Styela clava: one gene and its partners. The protein of the gene in region 1 binds, or shares a complex with, the protein of each later gene. Links are inferred from orthologs where the notes say so. Each region holds a gene or a part of one and is shown in the gene's direction. Other genes may lie near its edges.

Region 1 (7,848 bases):
CGTTTCATTCAATTTCTCCCTACAAAATACCTAGATAAATATTTCTGCAAATTCCACGTTATGACCGTTTTTTTAGGGAAATTTTCTGTAGTTTCAGTTCATTAGTAAACTTTTCGCTAGCCTATGTCCCGCGTTTTAGTGAAATATCCCGTATTTCACGCTTTAAAGCTTCCTGCTTTTTATTGAAGTTTCCCGTGGTCCCCTGAATACATATTTCCTGTTTTTCTGTGATTTTTACCTTCTTCCCGTCTTTTCTCAAAATTTCTCAATACTTATACTATTTTTCAGACTCTCAATATCCCTGCGGACCCCTGTGTAGTCGTCACGGAGTGACGTAAGTAACAGTGGATATAGAGGACTTGCACGGGTCACGTGACCTTGTTTACTGGACGGCAATAAAACAAAAACGTCCATTTGGCTCCTGTCAGTTGCAAGTCGGGTTATACGTTTCCGTTTTGTTTGGCTGTTGAAAATGGTTATTTCGTATTGTTCCGCTGGCTGTACGTATAGTATAGACAACGAAATGGATCTTCAGTTATATTCCACTGTTTTCAAAAGATCCGGAACGTCGCGCAATGTGGATATCATCTATTGGCAGGACTGCTTGGTGTCAAGTCCAGAAGCCATCTCACTTGTGTTTCACTGTTTGCGGACAACACTTCGTTGATGGTAAGTCATAATGTGCCGTTAGCAATTTTTTTGAATATTCATAAGCTCCCTCATTTCAATGGAAAGCAGATGACAAACTACTGTTATTGGTAGGCGTAGGCCTACTTGCAGAGTTGCAGACTTGACTCGTGTAAGATATTAATCAATAATTGCCATAAGGTATTGTTTCCCTAGTTAGCAGGTAATCTATTAGTAAGAGTGAAAAGTTGAATAGATAACTAAAGTTTAACGCCAGTGCTAATGCAAAAAATAACCAGAATTCAATTGAATTCTCCATCTAAGAATACGCTCGCCACCGCATCTCTGATCCCCCTGGGAGTTTCACAGGTTCCAATCCCATGCGGGGATAGTTATGTGTGAGGGGATTGCAGCTCTCCTCCCACTGAGGGTGGTTTACACGACCGCTGGTCGATTACGACATCCCCCACCATCAAGTCCATGCTTCTAAATCAAATAACTGGCTAACTAATCCCGACATAGAATGGTAATCGTACGATGTTGCACCTTGCAATCTGTCCCCAACCACAGATAAATTCTATCCTAAAAACTACCCACATTGGTAGGCATAGTTGCGTTTTAAATTGAAAGAAATCTTCATTAATGGTCAGAAGGTGTTGTCTGATTGTTTTGTTAGTTCGCAGGTAATTTATTACTGATCTGATACACAAACTTGGCACTGTCAAATGATGATTAGTGTTTAATTTATTTTCAGGAAAAAGGGAAGATAACCCATTATCAGCTGCTTATATGTCCCATCGATATTTGAATTTTCGCCAGCCCCAGAGAGGAAGAGAATAGTTAGAAAAAGGGGGATTTTGAAGAAAGGAAAAAGGCAGGACCATTTCAATAAATTCTGTTAAATTGTATGTGTTGCAATATTAATTTGCAGTTGTTAGCATAAACATTTAATGTGTCTTTCGACTAGACCTACCACACTTTAAAAAAAGCCGCCTACACCCCTTTTCACTAGAACCATAATACTGTAAAATATTTGATAGAAATTACCCCCGAGGCATCATATCTTCCATTTGAAAGGGCTGTGGAGGCAGATACATTTTTTACTCTAAATTATGGAATGTTACTTCCAGGTTATCTTATCCTTGCTTATAGATATCTTGAGGTTAGTGACTCCAACTGACCCATGCATGCCACACTGAAAATTCTCTTGTGTAGCCATAAAATAATAAGGCTGTTGGAGCCTTCAGACCTTGAAAACAGTCGAATCTGAGCACGATGGATTCATGTGAAACACGTAATATGCATTTAGAGGCAAAAATATCCCATCCTGAGCAGCACCGATCCACAACCTCCTGCCTATGGAATCAAAACATTAGACAAATTGGTGTACTGTGCGCATTCACAAATCTTTGCGAATCAATTGTGCCTTTTGACTAAAGAAAATTTAGCATTGAAATGGTCAATCTCAATATCAACCTAGTATCTGCAGATAAAACCAATTTTTTTTAAAAATACATTTTTGATGTGCTTTATTTTTCAAATATAATTTATAATTACTGTAAAGTGTGTGATACATTTGGTACCATGAATACCATTTGCAAATTAGCTTGGATTACACCCCTTTCAAATAAAAGTTTAGACTCTTAAGTCATATCTCATAATATTCTTTGAACAAAAGGTTGCGGCTAGCCGGCTACCCATCAGAATTTCCTTCCAGATCACAAAGTCGCAATATTACGCCTCGGTAAGTTTCATTGGCAACTGTATCTTGTTGTAGTATCGGTGTCCAACGTTAGACTAAAACCTTCACTACCAGACCCACCGAAACATTTTTTTTTTCTTGATAGGGTCGTCTTGAAGTTGCTTTCGTTAAAGCACAATGGACACTTTATCTCCACCAATCCACAGTAATCACAAGTTACTTTGTCATTACGATAAGCATCAATAAATGGATACTGAGGATGTATTATCAAGTCACGCAAGCTGAGGTCTTGTGCCACTGTGGTCTTGTTGCAACTTATACTTTGCCATCCATCTATTCCATTGTCGCACCCATATCTGTAAGATAATGGATACAGATAGAGTTTTCATAAAATCTAACGATCAAGGAGTGTGAAATTTAAGTCCATATCCCACCACAGCCACTAGTCGTAAATGAATTTGATTCCGGGTAGCATATCTTTTTTACCAATGACAATAAAAAGACATTTTGGATCAGTTGTACAAGCACCATTAGGATAGGATTTATCTGGGGAGGAGCCAGTTATTTGTTTTCAGAAGCATGGACTTGGATGGTGGGGAATGGTCGTAACCGATCAGCGGTCATGTGAACCACCCTCGGTGGGAGTAGAGCTGCAATCCTCTCGCACATAACTATCCGCGCGTGGGATTGAAACCTGTGAAACTACCAGGGTGATCAGAGAGGCGGTGGCGAGCGTATTCCTAGATGGCGAATCAATTGAATTCTGGTTATTTTTTGCATGACCACTGGTGTTAAACTTTAGTTATCTATTCAACCTTTCACACTTAGTAATAGATTACCTGCTAGTTAGGGAAACAATACCTTATAGCAATTGATTATTAATTCCTTACTGTCTCACACAAGTCAAGTCTGCAACTGCAAGTAGGCCCACGCCTAAGCCTACTAATAACAGTAGTTTGTCATCTGCTTTCCATTGAAATGAGGGAGCTTGTGAATATTTGAAAAAATTGATAACGGCACACTATCACCACATTATCACTCACCATCAACGAAGTGCTGTCCGCAAACAGTGAAACACAAGTAATATGGCTTCTGGACTTGACACCAAGCAGTTCTGCCAATAGGCAATAGATGATATCCACATTGCGCGACGTTCCGGATCTTTTGAAATCAGTGGAATATAAATGAAGATCCATTTCGTTGTCTATACTATACGTACAGCTAACGGAACAATACGAAATAACCATTTTCAACAGCCAAACAAAACGGAAACGTATAATCCGACTTGCAACTGACAGGAGCCAAATGGACGTGTTTGTTTTATTGCCGTTCAGTAACAAAGTCACGTGACCCGTGCAAGTCCTCTATATGTTAAATGTACATTTTTCAGTCGCTCAATATCACTGCGGACCCCCTATGTAGTCGTCGCGGACCCCAGTTTGGGAAAACCTGCTCTAGGTTGACGTAACTGAAGTATTCAGTGATAAGGATAAGATAGGATATACATATTTATCCCGGGGGAGAGGAAAGCCGATAAGACGACTTATCCCTATGGCGAACCACGGCCTCTCGTCCGGTTACCATTCCAAGTCGGGTATGGGATTAGTTTTACTGTATTGTTTGTTTTCGGAAGCATGGAATTGATGGTGGAGGAAGCCGTAACCGACCAGCGGTTACGTGAACCACCCAATGACGGCGAGGAGTCCATCCTCTCGCATCTAACCATCCCTGCATGGGATTCAAACCTGCGAACCCACGCAGAGTAATTAGAGGTGCGGTGGCGAGCGTATTCCTAACGCTTAGCCCGTTGAGCCACACCGCCGCGCCTGATGAGGAAATAAAATTAATAGCCTTCTAACGACAGCATAAACTTTCCAATTATCAATTGGCCTGTAGTTGAAGATATTAACAAGAACATAATTGAAAAAACAAAAGCATATGTACATTTCGTGTCCAAAAATAAACTAATATAATCCCGGTTACCGAAATCTTGCAAAAAAAAATCAATGTTCGTGACGTCATCACCGAGTGGATCCGAGTTGGACTCCGACTCCGACCAATGTGACGTCATTACCGATTGTATCCGAGTTGGACTCACCTCCGACCAAGAAATAGCAAAGTTCAGCAGTTGCAGAGTTCTGGAGTTAGTACCGGTACCGGTATAGTTTGGAGACATTTTTACGTTACTGCTGTGCTGTGGTGTCGTAGTGGCGTAATTTCTGAATGCCATAGGTCAAGTGGGGGTTAGGAATAACATATGCAAAAATGGTTGCACAACGCCGAATAGCGAATATAATGTAACTTACGGCTTTAATTTATACCGGTACCGGTACCAGTACCGGTATTGCCTTTGCAGCTTTGGGTCTCATGTAGTTTCGTACCTAACATACTTCTAGTGGGCGTAGCATGACACTTTTTGTCTTGTGAAGGAAACACCGTAACTGCTTAAATACCCCCAAACACAAATGTGGTGGGAAAATGACTGCTGTAAGGCGCGGCGGTGTGGCTCAACGGGCTAAGCGTTAGAAATACGCTCGCCACCGCACCTTTACTTACTCTGCGTGGATTCGCAGGTTCGAATCCCATTCAGGGATGGTTATGTGCGAGAGGATTGCTGGACTCCTCGCCGTCGTTGGGTGGTTCACGTAACCGCTGGTTCGGTTACGGCTTCCTCCACCACCAAGTCCATGCTTCCGAAAACAAACAATATAACTAATCCCATACCCGACTTGGAATGGTAACCGGACGAGAGGCTGTGGTTCGCCATATGGATAAGCCGTCTTATCGGCTTTCCTCTCCCCCGGGATAAATATGTAAATCTTATCTAAGTGCTTCAATAACGTCAAACAAAAATGTGATTTGAAAATACAACCCAAATTTTCATTTTTTTCTAAAAATAAAAGTCTGGCTTGCACGAATACCGTATGCTTACCGCATGGCATGGGACAAAGGGAGGCGGACAACTCAACTCACAAGACAACAGATGAGTCGTCCATCTTTTTGCATTTTCGACGGCGACACTTTAAGACAATACGGGTGTAATTTCGACCTTTTACATTAAAATCTTGAATCACATTTTTTTGTAACTAACAGTTGAGGTTGCGTTAAACTAACTACCTTTCCTTGCTCCTTATGCCTTTGCGCAGGTGGATCCGTATGCGTATTACGCAAGGATGCTGTAGCAAGAGAACATTACATTTCATTGTCACATTTTTTGGGGGTGTAATTTGAGCAGTTACACTGTTACAGCGTTCATTTCATATTACATTTTTGTAAGGCGATATTTAAATATGTAAATCTTATCCTACTGTCATAAGCAGTTACGGCGTTTAGCCTACTTTAGTACCAGTGTATTTATATATCGTACTGTCTGACTTTATATAATGAATATGAGAACTGCATTTTTTTTGACTAATATATACATACAGACATACCGTACGGTACCGGTGTTTTTTGAAACTGTGTACAAGTGTCATAGGTCGAAATATTGCTGTATTGCAGCGACTTTGTAATTTCATTTTTCAATGACAGAATGATATGAAGTACTGAATATATTCTGTATAATTTATTACTACAAAACAAGAAGATGAGCGTTGCTAATTATATGACATCTGCACTGGATCATTCGCAAATCCTCATTGGTGTCAAATATGCTGCAAACATAAACACAGCATCAGTACAGTTTGTCTTGAAGAAATTGGAACTTTACAAATCTCTTGTGATAAATGATGCTGGGTACACAATTAACATTCGATTTGATGATAATGCATCCCCACAAAATAGCCATTGGGGTCCATTACAGGCACATAGACAAGTGTGTGGAATTGTATTTATTGGAGAAGCTATTAATCCAATGGAAGCAGCTTTAATCCTGGATAAATTTAATAAACTGAAAGAGGAGTACAGTCCAGGATTATTGCATTCTAGGTGTATTATCTTTGGAATAGACACAACCATTCGTCCCCACAGTCAAGATGTTTTTCAATTTTCATCTCACAATGCATGGAAATCTGTGGATTATGATATCAAACAGTTTGTCACAGCAATTTTTTATGAGCTGGAATCAAAACGTTTGCGAATGGCTCAAGAAAGAAGTGGAAAACCAATGCTTATAGCCACTCCGTTTGAAAATCCAGATGAAAAAAATGAGTCTGACAGTAAAGTGATGCGCAAAAAATGTTCTGGTCGTCACTATAAGCATCTTGCTGACGTTAACTTGCTGGTGGGACAAATATCTGAAGCATTACAATGTTATCACAGTGCACTTGACATATTGATTCCAATTAATGATACAGTTTGGGTAGGAAGTGCTTTGGAAGGTTTGTGTGTGGTTTCAGCCCTGGTGCATTTTGCTAGTCTGAAAACTGAGAAATCTTCTGTGAATTTCACCCTTGACCCCCGAAATCTTTCTAAAAAGCCAATATCGTCTTTTGCAGCACCTGATGTTAAAAAGCTTTGTATTTCGTCAATGAAAGATTTAGTGGATCGATACAGAGAAGCTATTATTCATTATAGCAGATATAAAAACTTGGCTGTTATTGAAATGGAAGCTTGTATCAAAGCAACAAAAGTATTTGCTGAGGCTAAAAGCTTTTTAGAAGCTTCAGAATTCATTCAAAATGCTGTTTACATCACACTCAATGTTTCAGATACCGAAAGATTACAACGATACAGTGTGATGGCTGATTTATATAAAAGTATAGGATTTTACAGAAAATCTGCATTTTACAAACGAGTGGCTGCGATGCAATGTGTAGCACATCATATCAAAGAACCTGATTGGAAACTTTGCAACAGACTTTTATTGAACACAATATCATGTCCGACTAAACACTCTATCATCTCCCCATACCTTAAAAACAGACATGGATGGCCAAGTATTAGTCTTAGAATATTACATGAACTTGTATATTCTTTGGAAAAAATTAATAATCATAGTCTTGCACTTCGTTATTTGCTTTATTTGATTTTGAATATGTTTCCTTATTTGTCTGAAACTGATGAAAAGGCAACTTGCTCTGCATTGGAAAATTATGTCAAGAAAAATATTAGTGTACTCGATAGCACATCACCTGAACTCAACTTCTATGTTTTACCAGTCATAACTAAGATTTCTCCTTTATTTGAAGATGATGGAATGAGACCAACAAAGTCTAAAACTGAATCTGATGCTCAAAGTGTTTTTATTTACACACCAACGATTAGACAGTCACAAACACACGAGCTTAAAAAAATTTGTTTTAGATGGTGTGTAAACACAATGTTCGAGATTATAGTACATGTATTTAATCCACTTTCTCATTGCAGTATCAAGATATCAGAATTTTCGCTGATTCTTGATTCAAACAGTTCAGCTATAGATTGTCAACCACAGACTTTTAACATTGCGCCGCAATCATCCTTTGAAGTCGGGATTAAAGTAACTCCAGTAGAATTAGGTACAGTCACTATTATTGGATATGCATTTTCAATGTATGGAGTTTATGCAAAATGTTACTTCAACAAAAATGATAACATTG
Region 2 (7,780 bases), on another chromosome or scaffold:
TTTAACACATTTATACTGTACTATATAGGCCTATTATAGTTTTTTTTTCAGTTATGTTCCTTTCATACGAGAATATGATCTTGACAGTCTCATAATTCTATGTCATTTTGGAAATACACTGCCTAATAGTCAGTTTTTTAAATATAATGCACATATTTCATGACTCTGTTTCTGAAGAATGATCAGGATAACTATAGGTACGTATATTTTATCGATCATGATTTGAAATTTTCAGGATTGCAATAATGTGAATGAATTTTTCAAAAAGAAGGGAGTTGCCGTTATGAATTTGAGAGAACTCTTTGAATTTGTTACAGATGTTGATATAACAGAAGAAAATATCGATTCATATTTAGATAATGTAAGTAAAAAAACATTTTTTCTGTTTCCAATACATTGGCACTCAATTGTACTCAGAAAAGCAATGCGTGTAGGTTCGTCCCCAACTCAGATTTTGAAATTTTTTTGTGCAAATCATCAACTGATTCTAAGGATTTGAAAGTTCTCACAGTCACAACTAAGGGAAAATATCTGGCCCAGCATGATCGATGATTACTGTGAATCGGAACTCATTTTTCATGAATATTGCTAATTATGAGACGCAGATTTTGACAAGAGACAGATATTTGATAAACTCAAATATTTTGTAACTGTACGTGTATTTAAAGAAATAATTTATTATTTTTACCCTTAAATTCAAAAGCTGCTTTATATCAAAATATTCTCTTCTATTCAACTTTTCTTATAAATGTCAGGCTATGAAAATTACGTCGGATCGAGTATCTACACTCGAACAAAAAGACGAGGAAGAACAGAATGCTGATTTAGAGGAGCAAATATTCAAACAAGTTTTTATTCCGAGGACGCTGGATGAAGTTCTGAATTTTGAACGAGATGTCGATGCAGTTATGCATACTGGAGATGACTCACATGTACGTAAATATATTTTAAACTATTAGCTTGTGTCTATAGAGATTTCTAATATATTTTTCTTCTTCCCAGATATTGTACCGATCTGTGACAGGAATGAATGTAAAGTTATCTAAAAATAAAACTACAGAATCTGATGAAGATGAGGGTATATATCCTAGTGATTTTTTTTTACTAATTTGAGTTTATTTTTAAAAAAAATTGACTACTATGACAACTTGAAGGACAACATATAAAAATAGGTGGTTTTCTGTGCAATATACGAAACATTTCAAAATTTAAAATCTCTTTCGATTTATAATTATTGCAGTTAACAAAGTACGACGACAGGCCATCCACGTCGTTGAATATCAATCTATCCTTCATGAGATTAAGGTTACGGCCAAAAAATTTTGCTTGATATTCTCAATGGGCCAAGTTTTATAGCCATCTTAGTCTACTCAAAAATCTAGGCTATTGTGGTCTTTGGTTTAAATGCTATCAGTATATTTATATGCAGATGACAACTCTGAAGACAGCGACAATGATAGTTTGAAGTCTGCTGAAGATGAGAATGAAAGTGAAATTTCCACCTCATCCTCTTGTACAGTTTGCGTTAGAAATATGACAAAAGAAGAAAAAAGATTACATAAACAAAAAGTCAAAGAAGAAAATAGAGAAAAAAGAAATAACAAAGTTCCGAAACACATAAAAAAGAGAAAAGAAAAATTAGCTAAACTTAGGAAACCAAAAACATAATTTGAAGGTGCATTGATGGATTTGTTTTGTGTTCGTTCGGGATGGTTGAAGCCAGGTATATTGCAGTATTGTGCTGCTTAGGCAGGGATTGCATTCTGTCATATACTTAAAAACAAAGCAATGGCCAGAAATACTTCCCTATACGGTCTAATATGTTCATGACATAGTTTAATCCGGAGCGTATATGCTAAACAGGCGACGGCACAAATCGCAGGTAAAAAGGTAAATTTGAGAGGAATGAGGTCGCTGTAAATGTAGGGAAAATACACATCACATTAGGAAAAGATTGTGAGGCGAACTGATCCTAGGGTAAAGGGTGCATTGAATGACCAGACCAGAAATTCCGCAGTACAAGCCTCGGCGTGACAAACGCCGGAGCCCAAGCGCGAAACGGCCGAGAATGCGTGCAAAATCTAAATTTAAGCGTGTAAAAAATAGGACGAACAAATAGATACATTAGTATTGAAGGGGAGCGTCCCAATTCGTTGCAACACTGGCGCTTTGATTGACGCAGAGCATTGGGTCCCAATTTGGCGAAAGGACGGCGACATTGGGTAGTTGAGTTATTGCCCAAAATAACGTGATGGAGGCCTCTTGCGTTTACCTTTCATCCGTCCGCTCAATATATATATTGAAACGAAATATATTACAGTAGTTAACATCCTTATACGGCCAGTGCCTTTATTGGGACAATTGAAAATCCAAGTCAGAGACTTATCCAGTTTACAATTCTGCTATTGTAGTCTGATCGGTCTGATGTAAATGACTGTTCACAGGATTGATGCCTCGCCCCATGATGGCGCCATTTATGACGAAAGTTTCGCCGCATCAGCGTTGAAAAATATATTACGTTATATGAATGTGAGTTTCAAAATCTGGATTACAAAAAGTATCACGTTCAGACGTTTGAAGTAATGCGCGTTTAGTATTGCCTGGGAACAGTCAGTTTGTTATGTTAGAATTTTCAGCACTTTTTTCTCGGACCGGACGAGAGGCCGCCGTGGTTTGCCATCTATTTTATACCGTATTGTGTATACATAATATATTCCCTTTTATTTTAAAAAAGCTTTCATTTTTCTAAAGACGATCTGTATTACTGCAGTACTGTGATACCAGCCAAAGCTGAAAAATATTCCTTTGTGCCTTTTAAGCATAGCTTAAAAGTTGTTCGTTCTTCTGAGTATTATTCATGCAGAACTTTACATTATCAGTTATATGACCAATTAGTATTTGTAAGTTACTAATTTAACTAGTTCAACTTTATTAAAGTCTTTATTATGTCATATAAGGACAGAAGACCGAGTGCTCCACTCGATTGCAAAGTGTACGTTGGAAATCTTGGAGATGGAGCTTCACGAAGTGAATTGGAAATTGAATTCGGACATTTTGGAAGATTAGTAAGTGTATGGGTTGCCAGAAAACCACCAGGCTTCGCGTACGTTGAATTTGAAGACCCAAGAGATGCTAAAGACGCTGTCAGAAGTTTAGATGGAACAACGCTTTGTGGACGTCGAGCGAAAGTTGAACTTTCACATGGGCAAAAAAGAAATAGAAATTTTCGACCCAGTTACAGTGATCGACCACCGAGACGTGACATGTCAGAAGTCCGATGCTATACATGTAATCAAACTGGACATATCGCTAGGAACTGTCGGGAAGGTGGCAAATCACGTTCTCGATCTCCAAGAAGAAGATACTCCCGCTCCAGGTCTCATTCTCCGTCTCGTTCCCGAAGTCCGTCTCCGAAATATTCACGTTCTCGATCTCGAAGCAGAACGCCTGAAGATAAACGCCAGAGTCGTTCTCGTTCACGCAGCAGATCTCGAAGCTGAATATTTAAACAAAAAAACACAAATGACGCCATTAATTCGAAGAAGGAACCAAACAACGTCAAATATAAATCGCAGAGTTTAACTTTGCGAAGTTTGCAGATGTTGGATAGCTCAATATGGATTGGAGATTGTTATGACTTATTGGACTGTATATATACTGTCTTTTTGTTAATGATTTGCTATGTACAAATATTTTCGTACTTGAATTATTGTGGAATTTGACGGCCAATATTAAGTATCTAATTCTTGGTTTCAAAGGTTTTTTTTCGTACTGCGCCATAATTTTAGAGATGTATCTAACCCAACGACTGTAGCTTTAATGTTTGAGCGAGATCACAATCATTCATCGATGAAATGCTGTATGAAAATTTAAGGAAAGACTTAATTGTATATTTCTAAGTATACCGTGCCACAATTATCTTGAAGAGTTCAGCAATTTAATTTCTTTTGCGTCATTTTGAATTTAGAAAATTCAATGCAGAATTTGCTGTCAACCATTCGAATTAGTGAATGGCTACTATTCGTCTCTTTCTCTCTTTCATTTGGCATAGCTTGTTGTCCAATATGTTACTGTCATTGGCTTGTTTTTAAAATAGGATAACATGAAAAATTACAAAACTAAAATGGATGAGGTCACTTTTCATAGGGTATGCGCTATGATAATTGTCATCAGGGATGTCCAAATTTGGATTTGACTGGTTATCTATCAAAACAATGCTTATCTTACAGTCTTATCTATTCTACATTACCAAATTTAGTTTCTATCAATTTACAGTGCTTTTTATCAATTTTTTTGCAGTACGTTTTCCAGCTCATTATATATCAATAGCCTACTCGAAAATATAAATGTAGAATGTATTTGAAACATTGAACTATTCAATTTTGGACATGCTAGCTTATTATTTCTATAAATACACTTTCTGGATTCCCATTGCGTAATGTCCGATAAGCTTTGAATACATCTGATAACTGACTTTTCATGTAATATTAACACTGACTTCTTACTGCCGTGATTTTAGAAGATATATAAATTGTCTAGATATAGTTGTGAGGTATGGCTGATGGAGGTGGCGACGTCCAAAACAACCAATTACCGAATGAACCCATCCCGGTTTGTACCCTTTTCAGTGATGGGTCAATCGACACAACATTATCTCAGAAAGAATTGAAAAAAGATTTTTCTGGCGTGTCCAATTCACAAAACGTGGTTCAAGTTAAAGAAAATGAATCAAAAGAGCCTGAGTTGTGTGATGTGTTTGGAAGTGGCAATTCGATTCCTACATCATCTGGTGATGATATATTTTCGAAAATTTCAGAAGACGCAAAAGCGGATGAAGCCGCTCACGATCATTCATTTACATCTGAGAGCATAGATGATAGCAGTATTTCAACCCCAATGACAGAATCCATAAAATTAACCCCTTCAATGGAAACGCTGCGATTGAATCGCTCAGTCGATTCATTCATTGTCGAAGAATTAATAGAATCTGATGAAATTCCTGAAAACCCAGGTAAAATGGCTCAGGATGTATTATTAAATGAATCACAGCCAGTGCCTTCGGCAGGAATACCATCGTTTTCAATATCGCCAGATGATATGGTGAACACAGAATCTGCTATCTCTGATTTACCAAACGATATTGAAGTGGATGATATCATTGAAGACGCTTCAACGGAAATTGAGAAACTATCATTAGAAGATCCAAATGTAAAACAACTTTCAGAAAATGAAAACACCTCGATACAAGAATCTAAAATGACTTATGAAGAATCGAAAACTACCGAAATCAACGAGACTGAAGAAGTATCTACGCAACAAACGGCTACTGAAACCGAAATTCAACCTGAAATTCCAACTACTGGTTTATTATTCACCTCTGTTCAAGATAAGCAACAAACTTTGTTTCCAAGTCCAGTGTCTGAACGACATGGTATAGAAATAGAGGAAGGTAAGTAAAGGGTTAATATCTGCTTGTATTTGCATTCTTATTATATGTTAATAAAGTACTTTTCAGCTTTTGGGCTCAGATCTAAATAATTTACTCAATCTGAAGTGACCGCTGATAATTAATATATTTTGCAATAGCTGGCAAAATGTTTTTACCATTTGCTAGTGGTTTTTCTCCTTGATGAGAATAAGATATTTGTTCAAAAACTTCTCTTAAAATCTTATTTTCAAATGGTATGCCAAGTGCTTTAATAAATTCTACGTTTTATTCTAATTGTAAATATCAATTATGAACTAACATTGCTTACATATGCAAAAGTTTGTCTTATATTTGATCGTCTGTATCAAAAATTATGTTGTAACAATTGCGTATACTTTCCCAATTTTCCACAGATGACCCGTTTGCTGCCGCTTTGAGTAACAGTGTTCTTGATCGAAGACGTGATGCCTGGCTACCTTGTGAAGACACTAGAGCCATATTGACCGCTGCAATTGTGAACCATAAATCTCCTGATTTAGAAATGGAGAAGATTACTAGACCAGGATTATCTACCAGTGAATTGTTAGGTTTGTATTATTGGTATGATTTGGAGTTTTTCATTGAGGTTTGAATTTCTAAAATGATTTTCCGTCCCTTGAAAATGATAAATTGGAACTTTTTCGGCATTTGGCTTTTCTCTTAATTTGCCCTAACCCTGTGGGTTTGCAGGTTCGTATCATGTGGAGGATAGTCATATACTATCGATTTGCTGGACGTCATTGCTGTCAAAAGGTGGTTCACATAATAACCATTGGTCAGTTACAGCTTCATGCATGTGAAACAACTGATCAACATTTCGCATACCAAGATTGGTAACTGAATGAGGGGCCCATGATTCATAACATGAATACACCTTACTGTTGGCTTTTCCAGAATAAATATAAATATGAAAAATTTTAAATTACCGTAGATTGGTATTCTTGTTTTGTGCCTATTTTCTAACCTCACAAAAATTTTTGTGTGATATAAAATAACAGTTCCCTTTTTCTGTAGAGGATCCAGTCAAAGAGCTTGTCGTAAGAATGACGGGGTCAGAGAATGTTGTGAAACGTGGCAATCTGACAATGGACGATGTCACTCTCAATAAAGATGGAATCAAAAAACTGATGGTACATTTTCAATCATAGCACAAGAATGGAATTTTATGATTTTAACCAAATTTTTAATTTGATACATTTCAAAATCAGGCGCAGAATATAATGAAGTCAGTTTTTTTTTTCATTTTACAGGAATCTGGCAATCTACGATCTGCTGCAAACCTGTGTGCTAAACTATTAACAACTCATGGTCAAGGATTTGGTCAAGTTACACGAATGACACTCAATACATCAGAAACATTACAGGTTTGATTTTACTTAGTTGCAGCCTGTTGGTAGAAAATTAATAAGTCAATAAGCTGTCAATGATACTGATTTTTATTGTGGGCATGATATGGTATAAAGTAGAGCTAATGAAAGCAATACTCAAATGGAAAGCTAAAAATATTATACCGAATAATAAAAACGGAGTGAGTATTCATGCAAGTCAAAACTATTGGCAAATTTAATATTGCATTATTTCTTTACTAGCTAATTTTGAATATGTTTATTAATTTGTGTTGTTTTGTTTGTAGTTGTGGTACACTCGCATATATATCCTCACAAAATTAAAACTATATGACATGGCTACAAGTGAAATTTCTACTTTCAAAAATCTCGACAATGCAGACTTGTACTATGAATTTTATCCTGATGTCTATCCAGGTGAGAATTATTTTTATTCATATATGATCATTTAATTATGCCTTTAACTTAACGTAGTGCTCAAGATGGAGGGTAGTGCCCAAAAAAAACAGGGCATCGCATCCTTCAAAGTGTTAGTAGTCAACATACTGATTACCCTGCATTGGTTTGACTTCTATGTGGTTGATTATATTATTATGAACAAATTAGCTCTTCTCGTGCCTAGGCTATTGGAGTGGCTGTGGTCTTCTGCAGTATTCTTCTAGCTTATACTGATTTCCATAAAATTTTCTTTCCATTTTTAGGTCGTCGAGGATCCATGGTTCCATTTTCATTTCGACTTCTCCATGCTGAGTTCCCACGTCATGTCGACAGAGCTCAATTATCATTGGCTCGTCTGCACAGAATATTAAATGTTTGTGATAAGGTAAGAAGTTTATTTGATAAACAGAAATGTATTTTTACAAAATTTTGCACAAAAATATGTGATATAATGACAAACTTCAATATGTCAAAAAATAATCTTTTAATGCATTCGAATCTGAGAATCTCCCACTGTTTAAACATTAGC
Region 3 (7,737 bases), on another chromosome or scaffold:
GTCTTTATCCCTATAACCGCATCTCAGCTCCCTATATATATACCGTATTTTCCGGCGAATAAGTTTACCTGGCGAATAAGACGAGGCCCGCTTTTAAGCCTGAAAAAATGGATTTTTGCATATAACCGGCCAATAAGTCGGGGTAGTAAAATCGCATCAACATCGGAATCTTAAATAATCATGCAATGCCCTCTGAGCGGTCGCCGCGTTTTCGCATTGGTTAAAATAGCCTATAATGACTTTTTTGTAGCGTAATATTCAATCCTTAACAACTACGGGAATTCAAACTGTCTTTCAATTTCAGTCTAATTGTGTTCAAATCGCGATTGCGTCCGTCATACAAGAACATTACTGATCTAAAATAAGACGGCAATTTGCGGACACAATAATGTGAGATAAACTACCTGATTATATTTAGTTTTTATGAATAAATATACATATAAAGTGTTTATATGAAACATGCATATCGTCACGCTAATAACCGAATTGCGCAAGTCATTTTTAGCAGTTTTGAGAAAAACCTAAAAACTTTCTAATGATATTGCTATGCCATTGAGAGTCAATAATTTGCCATAGTTCAATTTTTTGATCGTAGCCGGTTTTAAGTTAATTTGTATGACGCAGTCATGTGACGTTATAATGGCGCACTGTGACTTAGGCAGAAATGTGTCTATGACTAGGGGACATACGCAATTTTGCAACTTGACTCTTGTACCAGTCCTGAAAACCAAACAATCCAAAAACGAATGTAATTCTTAGTATTTACGATGTCTGATCCCCAAAATAGTTAATCTGTTTCAATTACATTATTTTTTATGTTTAAAAATATATACTTCATAACTGGACACGATATATATAACACGCTCTGCACATCCACCGAAATAAGACTAAAGTTAAATATAAAGAATAAAACAACAATGTACCCTTATATAAAAACCAACCAAGATGAATTGGACTCAAAAAGTGAATATCACAAGTGCACGCCTTCCTATACTGTAGTATAAATTGAAATTTAAAAGCGCTAGGCTAGAATCTGAGATGCAAAAACTCGAAAATCCTTCGAGGAGGTTATTTTGCCGTTGTGACGTCACAATACTCCTGCGTTAACAATGATAATTCATTATGACGAAACAATTGAACAAATTTGCATATTATACAAAATCTCTATTTTCATGGGCTTCGGAATTCTTAGAATAAAATTTGGGTTAACAGACAGATGCGCAGCATTACATAAATACCTATTTTATGGAAAACTCAAAACCGCCAAAAATGACTTACGCAATTCGGTTATTAGCATGACGATATTCATCACCTCGAAATGTCCACAAAACGAAATGTGTTGTTTCATTGATTTAATTGGGATTATATGTTGTTTTTGTGGGTTTTACGGTAGGAACAAAACCTTAGGTCAGCGATAATATCCCACCGAGTTATATTTATGTCAAAAAAATGAATTAAATATATATTCTTTACATTACCGTAATTATGGTATTATACACATAGCAGCGTCTGGCCCTGTCGGTGATTGTGGAACAAAATTTTTTTTCGTGATTAGCAATGCCTAAAAATCATCTTTAATCTGTCACATGATGTTTCTGTTTTATTTTTAGTATTATATAATGCCGCTTTTAAATCAAGAAAATTTGGGTCATGTAAACACTTATTTATCTTAGCCTGTTGTCACACATGATTATGTGATAACTCGTATCTCACAACACAAGTGCCATGGTTGCTTGGGAGCAATAAAGTAATTATCGTTGTCCTCGCTGCAAATTTCTGACTTAGAGAGAATAAATGCTGAAATGAAAAAGGTTTACGGCTCAAATAAGACATCACGATGACAAAAACAATTGACAATTTTCACAAATTGCAATCCCACGTATATCGGTAATAGCCACGCAAATGAGGCAACTTTAAATATGATAATCACAGCATTGAAATTTCAGATTCACAGCAGGAGATTGTCGATTTATTTAAACTAACCTGACGAGGTTATTTATTGTCCAGATTTAATAATGAGGCGACATCAAAAAACTGAAAATGATCTTTTTCGCCTAATAAGACGAAAATCCCCCCCCCAAAAAAAAAAATCAGGCCAAAAATTTGGGTCTAGAAAAGCGACTTATTCGCCGGGAAATACGGTATATGTTTTAATCGTGTTATTGTCTTATATGTCTGCCAGTATGAATGTTTCACCCCCAAATAAATTAATATTCCAGTGTGGGATATTGCTTGACATTATTTTATCAAATTAAGGTAATTGGAATGGCTACCTAGAATAATAGTATTTCTATAAAAACACTTTCGCTGATTCTAAACTGACCCAAAACCCACTATCAGGGTCATACCTCTGCTCAATTTCAATTTTACCTCTTTTCTTCTCATAGTTATGCAAAATATTGTAATTTTGTTCGTGTTCGAATACTTTCAAATTATTGAAATTGAACTATCATCTTTTCAACCCTTGCGCAAAATGATAACCGCACGACATGCTCCGTAGCAAAATGTCCACCACCACCTAAAATTGACTTGGCATTTTGTGTAGTTTCACAAATATCGTCTGGTGCTTTAGTATTTTTGTAATGCGTATTTATGAATATAATTCATAAATATAATTGATCGCGTCTGATGTTGTGTGAATTTAACATAGCCTTAGTTTTGAAACAGGGCGAATACAGTAATGTACATGCGCAAAGTACGATATTCACATACATTCAGTTAAGTATTCAAGTCTGGGCAAGCTCGATAGATAACATTATTAAACGTAACAAATGGAAGTTTCGCCGCTGCCAAGGTTTAGAAATGAACTTGACGAATGGCGTGTGTCTTGTCTAAGAAATTGTATTTGCAACGGTTGCAGTGGTATCAGAATGCCCAATTTTTTTCTAATTTAGGCAAGCGAAGAATCGGACTTAGAGGAAATTGTAAATTAGATACTGAAGTTTGAGCAGTCATGTAACATTTATTGTTTGAGAATATTTATTTAGTGCTGTTCCGATAATATGGATACTTGTTACTTGGCAATGTTGTTTTAAGTAATTTTCAACACTTGGAACATAGAAAATACAAATATTTGTGACGATTTCATTAAAAATACGCCCACAGTGCCGAGCTTATTGGCAGCGGTATATTTTTTGTATGCGTGTGTGCAGTTATCTGCTTATTCATTACTGATTCGTTTATGTGGAATGAGTATTTTAGTCGATCGCGCTCAAAATAAGATTGGCCACCCCTGGGATATATTAGAAACTATTCAAACCGTTCGAAAGCGGTTGTGCATATCACTAGCTAAGAATTTATTAAAGATTGAACAAACAACGAAAAAATAGTTTTTATGCGTAGCGACGGAGGAATAAAGAGATCGAAAATAGGCAAAGGAAGGCATTCATCAAAATAGTTTGGAACCTCTGTTTTAGTTAAATCAAGGCACGGCATGGAAAAACTGATTTAAGCCATTTTGCAAGCGACTACCCGTGAAAACATAAGCACAGATATATTTGCATAGGTAAAGCTTAAGTAGAATATTGCATAGTTTAATCCAGGGGTGTGCAACAGGCGGCCCGATGGCCACAGCCCGACTCGCTAAGCTATTATTTAGTGTGCACTCTGCACTATTCACTCTGAGCAAGGCTTTTTAGACAAATAGAAAAGGACATACAGTATTCATTTCACCTTCACGCAATGGGTGTATTTGGGTATCACACACGTAGAGACTTGTCATTTTATGTCCAGCGATGAGTCATGTATTGTGTCACACTTATTCATAAGTCGTTATACATTTTCACTCCCAATAGGCTTTAGGCGAGCAGAAACGGACATAACGGACAAAAACAACAAGTCTTTATGTGTGTGGTACCCAGCTACGTCCATTGGGTGACCGTAAATTAATATGTCCATATCTGCTTGTCTGAAGCCTTGCTTGGAGTGAAAACGTATAACGAACGCATTATCACGAAGTTGCTCAGATGATTTAATCGTGAATGTTCGTTGGGGAAAATTGGTGTCTCGCTTGAGTTCCGTATTTATTTGAGCTCCGCGAAGCAATTCGCAGGCGCCATTGCGGGTGATCGTCGGATTCGTCGCTGTACTTCGGAAAACACTATTTCAGTATTTCGTGATTGCGACGTCGCAGTGACTTAATTTTTGGATGCATAGTCAGGGGTGAGTCAGGAATGATATATGTCAAAATTGCTACGCGCAATAGAAGTGGTACTGTACCAAAAAGACTCTACCTAAAACCATGCACTCATGATCTCAGGCACTCTTTTCAGCTTCTAGGCATCGTTTCCAGTACTTTCATTTTTGTCGTAGTTCATTCTGTCATTGGGATTTTAGTCGTATTTGATCTTGAGAATTTATGCATTTTTATATTGCATGGAACAAAAATGTACCAGTATGTTTGTATAACTGTATAAGTGAATCATTTTTTTCAACATAATAATGTATAATTACTTAATTAGTTTAATTATTCATTTTTTCCCCTTCCATGCTATTTTCAATAAATTGGTAAGTCTGTAAGTAATATAGTAAGACCAGGATAAGCTATAGACTAGCGTTTTAAAAAAAACTGGACAGCGATTTCGCCCATCATCACATCACTATAGGCTCGGGCATGGCTTCTGCTACGGATTTGCCTCAGGAATTATGTTATGATCCAATGTCTTTTGTTGTTCTTACTGGATTGGATATAAAATACAATGCTATTCACAAGTCTATATGGGATGCTTTCAGCAATAACAGGTAATAGTTATCTCTTTGACATTTGAAGTTTCATACAAAAATTGATATATTACTGTATTATGAAACATGCACTCTTTCTAAAGTTTTTCAGTCCATTAATTTCTTATATATATTGATTATCACAATATAACCTACATTATACTTTACTTATTTTCTTCCTGATGGTCATCATGTTCTTCACATGATTTCGAGGTATGCCTTTCTGTTTACATAAGAAACTGTTCAATTTGAAAATGATTTGATCTAATAAAACTTCAATTTTATAGAATAAATTTTATTACAGACGAGCTGACAGAGTTCCAATATCTTTTGGTTGTCTTCCTGGGGATCATTGTTATCCAAGATCCAAAGATAAAAGAACATCTTATGAGTGGTATATACCTAAGGTATGCAGAATTTGATTCCATATATGCTTTTCTTAACACCATACTTTGTTTTGATCGGATTAAAAGTTTTGGTTGAGTTAACTATTTTGTCTTGTCTGTATACCTATAAATATGCAATTCTGCAGTGCTTTGAATCTTATTGTTGTCCATGAGTTACTTACTCGATTCTTGACTTTCAGAATAGCCCAATCTAAATTGTGCTAACACGCTATTAGGGACGAGGCATTAATATACATGGTCTAAAACATATTCATTTTTGCCTAGATCAGACTTACTTATATTCAATTGCTTTACTGATTTCAGGGAATTTTGAAAACAAAATGGATGGATAAACATTTGCATCAAGTACCTGCTGTTGTTGTTATCTATTATGAATTGGATTGGGATGAACCTGCATGGAGAGAGAAGCAAATGGAATGTGCATCTCGTGTTGAAGTTGTACGAACAAGCTTGCAGGGTTGGTGAATTTTTTTTTTCCTATGCTAAGTATTTGACAGTCTTCTGCTGAAAAAATTAAACATTCTTGGGCGCTACAATATTGTGAGGTCTACACCATATGTCACTTACCTAGATGCGATCTGGGGTTAATCATGTCAGGGTTAGGGGCATATTCATGCCATAAATCACTAAATTAAATGTATAGCAATAAGTTATATTTGTCAGGGATGAAAATTGCAGCAGCAGACCTCTTGGATCTCTCACGCTACAGTGTGGTTTACCTTATGCTTTTGTAGCACCTATTTTTTCAAAGAAATCAAATTTAGGATTTTCAATAGCATAGAAAATACTCATATGTGTAGAATTTTTTGCTGTCTGTTTGAATGTTAGAAATTGAAGCTATACAAGTAATATAAAAAAATGCTGATTACACTCATGTACTGTTATTTTCAGGACGAGGAACAAAGGTTGCTGTTGTACTTATACAGAAGAGCACTCCATTGCCCCCAGGTGAAGATATGGTTGCTGCAGAACGAGCTGCCGCACTTTGCAGTGCTTGTGATCTATCAGCCAAATCATTGTTTGTGCTTCCTCATACTGATCATCTATTAGGATATATTATAAGGTACCTTAAAACATGCTTTGTTTGAATTGTTATTGGTTACTCAGATGTTATAAGAATGTCATAAGATCTCTGGTACAGTCATGATCCGTGGTCTCCTTTCAAAGACTCTTTATTGTATTTCATGTGAATTAATGTAACCTTATGTAAGTAAATAAACGTTTTTCTGAAATCTTTGTTGCAATTGCCGGATTATTTTTGTCGAACTTGATTAAATCCAATAATAATGAATATTATTATACGAACCTTATTACTATATATTTATGAATGTTTTTAGACTTGAAAATGCTTTCTATGAGTTGGCAAACAGTTACTATCACACTGAAGCTAGAAGAGTGAAAGCTCACAAGGAATTCCTGAACAAAACAACTCATCAACTTTTATTTGTGAGGCATCAGTTTAAAATTGGATTCTTCAACGAATTAATGCAAGATCCAGCAAATGCCCTTAAACATTATAGGTAAGATTTCAAAAAAAATTTAGATGAATACCTCCACTCTTCCAGCTAATTTGTGAACAAGTGTAAAAAACTTGATAGATCTGAATCGATATCAATATTTGTGGAATTTGTTTATCTTGGTGGCGCTTTCCTAAAGTCAAACGCTGTGGATTTTTTTATTTTATGCGACAAATTTATGTATCTTTCTGCTCTGAACATGCCTCTGCACAAGCAGCCATGCTCCATGAGGAGCTACTATAGTTTAGAAAGAACGGAATCTTTCTGGTTGACATTGCCTACCCTATATATTACACCCTGGTTCAGGTGGTGGTCCTGGGATTTGAACCAAACCACTTGACCAACAGCTCATGTATCATGGTTTACTTTTGTTAGTGCTGTAGAACAGCACTATTTAAGCTTGTTAAGACAGTATGTTCAGCTTGTTTTATCGGTTCGACTATAATTATGCTGTATTAGCGCTACAGGAAGCTTTTTAACAGTAATGAAGTTACGGCGAAATGATATTTATTAAATGTTCAACGACTGACGTTTTCCCACCACTTTTAGAAACTCTTGTCTTGTATTCCAGGAGGTTTGATAATATTTTTTTATCACTTATTTTATTAGACAAGCTTATACCCACATTCATGAGTTGCGATCACATGATACAAATAATCTTGAAGTCAAAGTCATGGGAGGATTTGTCAACTACAAGATATGTCGATTGTGCTTCCTGAGACTCAATATGCCGCTTGAAGCTATATCTCAATTTCGTCGACACGTTGATTCCTTCAAACCAAAGGCTGGCAATGAAGAGCTCATGTTTGAGCACAGCGCATGGATGAGTAAACAGTTTACTGTATTTGGAGATTTATTTGATGAAGCAATCAAAGCTGGTTTAGCCGCTATACAAACGCAACATCCAGGTTTTTATTACCAGCAAGCTGCATACTATGCTCAGGAAAGACGCACTCATGCAAAAGGCTTGTGCTCTGTAGCCACAGAACAAGAATATCCATCAAATGATCCACTGGATACTAGTGGCCAACCTCTGGATTTTTATGGACAACGACCTTGGAGACAAGGCCATCAAAGCATTGATCCCCCAGATG

The links.
Region 2: trafficking protein particle complex subunit 9-like (region 1) and trafficking protein particle complex subunit 12-like share a complex: the UniProt entries of both Homo sapiens proteins name them as parts of the multisubunit TRAPP (transport protein particle) complex. The link is inferred for Styela clava from reciprocal best matches to the Homo sapiens genes TRAPPC9 and TRAPPC12.
Region 3: trafficking protein particle complex subunit 9-like (region 1) and trafficking protein particle complex subunit 11-like share a complex: the UniProt entries of both Homo sapiens proteins name them as parts of the multisubunit TRAPP (transport protein particle) complex. The link is inferred for Styela clava from reciprocal best matches to the Homo sapiens genes TRAPPC9 and TRAPPC11.

Annotation. Positions count from the first base shown.
Region 1 is NC_135261.1:13,762,872-13,770,719, reverse strand, and holds the start of trafficking protein particle complex subunit 9-like, read left to right. Parts: upstream 1-4,651; 5' UTR 4,652-5,915; coding exon 5,916-7,848. UniProt on the Homo sapiens protein: Functions as an activator of NF-kappa-B through increased phosphorylation of the IKK complex. May function in neuronal cells differentiation. May play a role in vesicular transport from endoplasmic reticulum to Golgi.
Region 2 is NC_135264.1:11,781,239-11,789,018, forward strand, and holds the start of trafficking protein particle complex subunit 12-like, read left to right. Parts: upstream 1-4,530; 5' UTR 4,531-4,554; coding exon 4,555-5,449; intron 5,450-5,841; coding exon 5,842-6,015; intron 6,016-6,481; coding exon 6,482-6,597; intron 6,598-6,717; coding exon 6,718-6,831; intron 6,832-7,100; coding exon 7,101-7,230; intron 7,231-7,514; coding exon 7,515-7,636; intron 7,637-7,780. Other genes in the region: serine/threonine-protein kinase RIO1-like, read left to right, coding at 236-361, 756-932, 1,003-1,078, 1,430-1,668; serine/arginine-rich splicing factor 3-like, read left to right, coding at 2,946-3,500. UniProt on the Homo sapiens protein: Component of the TRAPP complex, which is involved in endoplasmic reticulum to Golgi apparatus trafficking at a very early stage.
Region 3 is NC_135253.1:11,401,363-11,409,099, forward strand, and holds the start of trafficking protein particle complex subunit 11-like, read left to right. Parts: upstream 1-4,487; 5' UTR 4,488-4,612; coding exon 4,613-4,740; intron 4,741-5,023; coding exon 5,024-5,126; intron 5,127-5,429; coding exon 5,430-5,583; intron 5,584-6,017; coding exon 6,018-6,189; intron 6,190-6,463; coding exon 6,464-6,646; intron 6,647-7,252; coding exon 7,253-7,737. UniProt on the Homo sapiens protein: Involved in endoplasmic reticulum to Golgi apparatus trafficking at a very early stage.